Linked DNA regions of Arabidopsis thaliana. The protein of the gene in region 2 interacts with the protein of the main gene of each other region in a pairwise test. Each region holds a gene or a part of one and is shown on either strand. Other genes may lie near its edges. The genes, in order: AT1G67860 and AT4G00780.

Region 1 (2,996 bases), on a different chromosome or scaffold from region 2:
GAGTAATATAAAAACTAATACAATTCGATAAGATAGAAAAATAATTATTTTTTGAAAATTTTAATGTAAATCTAAGTTTCTAATAATATAATAATAATTTTATAAACTGCACATATATAACAAAAATAAATACATGATTTTAGTGTTATTTGTATTTTTTTAAAAAAATTACTGATATTACATACTTTTTGGTGTTATGTTTTCGAATTTTAACATATATTAATTTTATTGAGCAATGTGAGAGATAATATATTTAGTGTATATAAGAGGAAGACAACTAAATAACCAGTTGTTGTGAAAACCTATATAGTTGTGATCCACATGAAAATTCCAATACAAGTCTACGCACAAACCCATCTTTTCTAGTTAACGTAATTAGTTTTCTTTGTTCCTTAACTCACTTGTACTTATGTTATTTTAACAAGTAGATTCATGTAATGAACATTAAAGCATGTAACTTGAGGGTTTTTTTCCCTTGTCTTCATCGTGAAACAACATATCTTAATCCAATCATTTTCGTAAATAGTCTTTTCGTTTTCTCTTTCTATATATATAGTTCAATGAGATATAATATACTTCCTAAATATTCATTTCAAATTTTGTCGATAAATATATATTAAAGTCAATTTATATACCGATCTAATATATATTTCTTATGTAATATGATAAATGATTTATTAACTTAAACAAGAACGCTGACAAAAAAAAAAAAAAACTTAAACAAGAACATTTATTTTCATTAAAAGTCCGTCACACAAATACATGATACATCTTACACATTTATTATATGGGGAGTACATAATCGTTACTTTCTTATTTGAACCGTCAGAATATTTGGGTAGTCTAGAGTCCTCTACTCCCTGTCTTTCTGGCGGCGACGGCGGCCGTTCTCCTTAGCCTTCACTGCTGCTGCACCGCCGTTACGGCTAAGGTTGGTCGGGAGCTTCTTTTTGTGCTCCTCGCAGTCGGTACGAGTGCAGCTCTGGTAACTATCGGGGCATATTCCGATCCCTCTGGCGAACCCATCCACCGTTCCAATAATCGCTCCGGCAATCCCTCCGACAATCCCTCCAATAAGCGTATCAAGCATTTTTATATATTAATTCTGTTGTTTTTCTTTGATATGAATAAGAGCTTACAATCTTTCAGATGTTTGTATATATTTATACAATTCTCGTAGTGTTCACTTAAGTTTGTTTGTTATGGCAATTATTCGTCATATGATATCCATGATATGATAAGAATCTTATTCTTTTTTTTTTACCACCACCATACGTAAAATTGAATAGACATGTTTGTTCTTATTCCGTTCGTCTTAAAAAATTCAACGATCACAAAAATTCGTGAAGTAGATGGAAAGAAAGTGGAAAACAAGATAACTATGGACATACACGACCCGTCTTACTTGTCACTCAAATGGTCCTTCAATCGCTATGATGGAAATTGCATCTAATGCTTGCAAAGTTTGAAGACTCTCCAAGTGGAAGTGGACTTAAAGTTTCCCCTTGTTGAAGATTCAGGTCGTTGTTCTAGGCCAGAAAATAAAGCCTTATAAAAGTGTAATAATCTAACTATTCAACTTAGACTCCATAACGCTGTAAATTGCAAGAAAACATTTCTATTAGTATTAAGTTCAAGAATTAGTCTAGACTTTGGATTTAGGAAGACTCTGATTATTGGAAAAAAAAAAAACATTGCTTGTGTAAGGTTCGTTTGATTTTTGAGATAAAAGTGTAGACAACTCTATCAATGACATTCATGGAATTCTTCAAGAAATTCGACAGCTTCAAGGTTGTTTCCGTTCTATCTCCTTTAGTTATATTTCTCGTCTTTCCAATTCAAAAGGCAGACGCTGTCGCCAAATATGCTATCTGTGTTTGTGTTTCCCTCAAGAACATTGCATAACTGAAAAGGCTAATCGAATCAACAAAAAATCCTATGATCCGTCTAATTTAGTAAATGAATTACTTGTTTGAATCAAATCTATGAGCTTAAAGTTTTGGTCGATAAATGCAAAATAAATTATCTAATTATTTAGATGAACCAGAAACATTAAAACGACATATCCTACTGCACTACGTAACTTATAAATTCATTAGGGTTTTCGTTACACCATAACGTTACTTTTCAAACTTAATTGTGTGCAAATAAATTCAATCTTTTCACGTGTGGAAATAACTGTTAATATACATCACTTTTATTAAACACACTCCTTTTATTAATCATAAAGTTCATAAAATTAAACAAGAAGACTTTTCATTAAAAGTCTCCTATATTTTTGGTAAGATACTGAAACATGTCCATCTTATACATACATCGTATACATTTATTATTTTGGATACATAATCATTACTGGGTGTGGTCAGGAGTCCTTTACTCCCTGTCTTTCTGGCGGCGGCCGCCGGAGTTCTCGGATGCCTTCACTGCACCGCCATTACCATTGCCGTAGTTTCCCGGACTCGTCATATTGTTGTTCTCGAAGCGACCGGTGCTCTGATAATTATTGGGCCATATCCCGACCCCTTTGGCAAACCCATCGACCGTTCCAAGAATCCCTCCGGTAATCCCTCCGGCAACCCCAATAATAAGCTTATCAAGCATTTTTCTTTATATTTATCTACTTGTGTTAGTTTTCTTTGATATGGATAAGTGTTTTAATCTTTCAGATGTTTTCTATATATAGAAAAAATTTCTTGTATATAGTTCCCTTTTTTATGATCTGAATCTTATTCTCTTAGTACCATCACTACCGAAAGTTGAATAGATATGTTTGTTCTAATTCCGTTCGTCGTTTTTAATAATGATCACATGGGAAAGATCCAAACTAAGGAGGTTTCTGTCTACGGACACGTTTTCTTTAAAAAATCAGACCCTATAGACCCTCAAAAATAGATGTTGTATGTGTATCAACTAATGTTTAGTCCAAAAAGGCATGTTTTGACAGCAATACTAGTAACGAACATTAGAAAAGATGTGTGGATAAGTTTAGTGTAAGG
Region 2 (4,490 bases):
AATTAATGTTGTATATACTATATATACACAAATATACTACTATTTATTCATCAACAACCAGTTTGAGTTCCCATGGTAAAGCTTTAGTTTACAATATTGACTACTATTTAGATAATTAACTAAATGCTGAACCAGAATGTATCCGCCAGCACCTACTAAGCGTTCCGTCAGCACCACCACTTGTGCTCTGTACTCTGAAAGGTGAAAAAAGATTGGTCGAGATTATTATATGGTTTGTAACTAGGAAAATTAGTAACTTTATTAACTTGATGTATAGTACCAAAAGTAATAAAACTAGTTATATAACCAATGTTCAAAAAGTTCACTAATATAGTTGGTCCCCTCAAGACAAGATTCTTTGATTTGATGCCGTCAAGAATCTTATATTATATAGCTAGTCTTTGATGTATTCTCAGCATAAATTATTCAATCAATTTGGGATAAGATTCCTGATAAACATAAAGTGTGTGAATCAGATCTCAAGGTCCAACATGGAATTAGAATAAAGGTCTTTTTTCTTTAATCTGATGCTTGCTTGACAAGGAATTGTTTGTTTTTTCTTCTTCTTATCTTTTTGATCCATCGAAGAGATCATGTGACGACAATTTCATCCTCTTACTTTTATAGCTTGGATTTGTTGATTTTCATCTGCAGTTTTTACCCTCAAGACAGATTTGTTTAAAAACTAATTGCAAGTCTGACTTTGATGACAAAAGTGAAACTTGGAAGCAAACTGTATTATTTATACGAACGACAAAAAAGAGAAATCTGACTTTGGCTAAGACTAGGTCAATGTAGTTCCACCTCCAAGTCTCAGTAGGTACATTCTCCAACATTTTATTCAATACATTATAACATTTCTTGTTATTTTTAGCTCACAATAAGACTTATTACAGCCTAGAAGCTAACAGTAATAAGTGGTAGAAACGACTTCAAACTCAACTCCCACATAAAGCTTATCCTTTACCAAATAAGGTTCATTTAGTTTCCCCAGAGGCATGAAATCCGCAAAGCCACTTTGGTCCGAAGGTTCTGCATCAAACCAGCTCAAACCTACAAAAATAAAAGATTACTACTAGTATTTTACCATCACAAGACTAAATTTCCAAAACAAATTCCTCCTAATAAAGATGGATCCTATATATATACCTGATTCCTCAACATGATTCCAGCTAACTTGATCCAATACCCGCAGCTTGAACTTGGCGTAAGTTTTTGTCATTGGTGCATTGTTGACAAACCCTTCTGCTGATAGATACACAGAAAATGATTTGTCTTTTTCATCCATATACCCTCTTGGATGAACTTCAAGTCTCCTATATATTGTGATGCATTTTCATTAGTATATTGTTGTGTCTTTTTAAAGAAGTCGTTGGAATCAATATATATTTACCATTTCCTGGTTCCAACGACAAATTCATTAGACTGATGAGCCTTTCCAGGGTTGAAGGACGAGAACTTGCTCATCATCCAAGTGACTTTGTGGTTAAGAGGCTTCTCTATTAAGCTAAAACACTCTGCTGTTCCGGGATTAGCAGGTTCAATCCCATGAAACTTGACACCAAACATACAACAATCTCCAATAAGGAAACCTTTTCTCTCAAGATCAGCAAGAGATATGAACCTTAAAAACCCCTCACTAGCTGGTTCTGGATTTATATCAAACTCATCTCGTCCTGCTCATATAACAACACATCAACATCAAACACACAGATATATATGATTCAAGGAGAGTGAGAGAGAAAGAGAAAGAGAGAAACCATGGGTGTGCCATTTTCGCTCTAGTTGACTGACGACTAGGAGCTCATATGTAGGCATATCATTTACCGGAACTTGATTCACTAAGAACATGGAGACATGAGTCCCCTTAGCATTCTTATGCCCATTTGGGTACACAGAGAGTTTCCTGTTACCATAACAAGCCAAGAGAACGATATATTGAGGTTAATGATCATCTACTGTTTCTTTGTTTTCTTTTGTATGTCAATAAGAAGATCAAAAAGCTTCACACCATTTGTGACCAGCGAGATCGAAAACAGAGGATTCGACCTTTTCGATTCCATGCTTTTTGAGTAAAGAGAAGTTGTCTATCTTGAACAAGTGAGATGTTGTGTGACGTATTTTGAACAGCCTCACCATTTCTGTGAGGAAGAGAAAATTATTATAAGAACTTGTATAAAGACTAAAGAGATAAGACACAAAATTATGTTTATTATTTAACCTTCAATGGGGATTGGTCGCGACATTGTAAGAAGCTACAAATGATATCTTCTTAAGTGGAGGAGACTTATACAAATCTTTTTTGAAGATGTAAGTCTATTTATAGACAGACAAGAGTTTATCTATTTATTCATTGGGATCCCATGTTTTTGTTGATGTCTCTGTTTTGGCTCCAACATTTATCGAATCGAACAAAAACTTCAAACGTGGATTACACGCTACAGTAACAGAGAGATTCGAGATTGATAAGCATTTATATACATCACAAGTTTTGGGTATATATTCACGTTCGTAACATCGAACTAAATTCTAAACTCATCTCAAACCAAAGTAGAAAGGGAAATCTACTTTAACATTTTTTCTTTAAACTTGACCCGGAGACCCAAAACCCGTCTAACTTCAGAGCTGGTGTGAGTCTTCAAGTCATATGGGTCCTGAGGTCTCTCCCCAAAAGTTAAGTATCTTATCTACTAATCTCTCACTGTTCTCTGAGTCATTCCGGAGGAAATTCGTATCTACTATACATTTAGTACCGAATTGATGTATATTCAGTATTGGATAGTTAAACTTGTTCCTTAAGAAAAAAAGAAATCGAGTTCATGGACTGAGATTTGCAAACGAGGTCTTATCATATCTTCTTGTAAAATACCCGGGTTCTGTTCTCAAATAATTTCAGGTATCAGGTATTACATGAACCGAAATTGATATCCGTGAGTATTTTTTATTACCCGAACATATATATACATATGAGGACATATATACTGATAACTTGAGTTTGTGAATTGTTTAATGATTGGATTATGGAACAAGTTAAAAACAAGGTTTATTTCTTGTTTTTTATTATTGTAATAAAGGAAAACTTGTTATAATTTTATGGATAGTTTTATATATGTTTGGGTATATCTGGACAAGGTTTTGGTAAATAATATTGAAACCCAAAATAATTTTGGTTATTTATTGGGTTCTTCAACCTATACCCGAAGAGAACCTATAGCTTAAATAATACGTATAATCGAACCAGTCTTAAACTTCTAAACCGAACCCGAAAGACTCGATCCAAACCCGACCCGAATACCCAAATTTCCTCACCTTAGACTAAAACAAATGGACTCCTCCCTTATCAAAAGAAAAAGAAAAACAATTGGGCTCCTTGACTCTAAAAAACACAATGGGCTTCGTGAGATAATATAATGAGTCCATTAGTCATCTATAAATTCAGTGACTAGCGAAAAACATGAGAAACATATCGGAAGCTTCTTCACCAACCTGGAAAGAGACCACCGGTAACGTCTCCAACTTATTTCCCTCTTCTTTCCATTTTTTTTTCAATTTACTTCTTCTTCTTCTTCTCCAGTTTCTTCTATCGGTTTATTTTTCAATTCCATCTTCATTGTTTCGCAGACCCATAGATAGGCTTTGATTTAGGGATTTTAATTTCAATGGCTGCGATCGCGAATCCACGCTTGCTGCTTAATTATTCCTGCGAATGACATTTTCTTAAGTTTAACCTTTTTATTTTCTGTTATGTTGTTTGCTCGTTTCGAATGAGGTCACTTTTTAACTCGTTCATGGATTTAGCTTCTAAAAATTGATCTTTTTTTGCAGAAATATGAATTAGGCATATATATATATATGGTTTTAGAGGTCAATATACATTGTATTATTCGTTTGCTTCATTCTTACAAAAGTAGAGCTAAAAAAACCTGAGCTTTTAAGTCAAAGCCTTATTCAAAAATGTTTTTGCTTTCTAATTTCTAAAGCTTAAGCATTGATGTTACTGTTTTGTGATGTTCAGGTGGACTGGAATCAGTTTTGGTAGAGAGCGTTGTTAAAGTTTCGTCCATTAACAGGCTGAAGAGTTCTTCCTCAATCTGTGTAACCACCACTTCGTGCTCCTCCTCTATCTGTTTCTCATTCCAGTCTCGTCTTTCGATTTCTCTAGCACATGCTTGTCTCCTCTGCTCACTTGTTCCGCGTTCAAGCTCTGATTCTCTCTTTCCCTGCAACCATCCTTTTGCCTCGCATACCAATTGGTTCTCAAAGTGTTGAGTTTCGTGGAATGAGTTTGTCCTTTGCATCAATTCATCTCTGAAATAGTCCATTATCAGATGTTCTTCGTGGATCCAAATGGCGTGTCTTTCTTTGACTCGGTTCCATAGCTGTGCTGCCTTCTCTTCAACCTCATCATTGTATTCATCTTCACTCTCTCTATCAACAGTATCACAATTCTCATCATCATCATACTTGGTATCTGTCTCTTGTCCTCCTTC

Evidence for each region.
Region 1: the proteins of AT4G00780 (region 2) and AT1G67860 interact in a two-hybrid assay, tested with the Arabidopsis thaliana proteins (one large-scale study listed by BioGRID).

The regions. Positions count from the first base shown.
Region 1 is NC_003070.9:25,444,087-25,447,082, forward strand, and holds AT1G67860 (uncharacterized protein), read right to left. Parts: upstream 1,272-2,996; 5' UTR 1,091-1,271; coding exon 854-1,090; 3' UTR 666-853; downstream 1-665. Other genes in the region: AT1G67865 (uncharacterized protein), read right to left, coding at 2,374-2,601.
Region 2 is NC_003075.7:332,535-337,024, reverse strand, and holds AT4G00780 (TRAF-like family protein), read right to left. Parts: upstream 2,453-4,490; 5' UTR 2,247-2,452; coding exon 2,222-2,246; intron 2,142-2,221; coding exon 2,012-2,141; intron 1,907-2,011; coding exon 1,761-1,906; intron 1,677-1,760; coding exon 1,394-1,676; intron 1,317-1,393; coding exon 1,150-1,316; intron 1,054-1,149; coding exon 905-1,053; 3' UTR 547-904; downstream 1-546. Other genes in the region: TRM9 (DUF4378 domain protein), read right to left, coding at 3,975-4,490.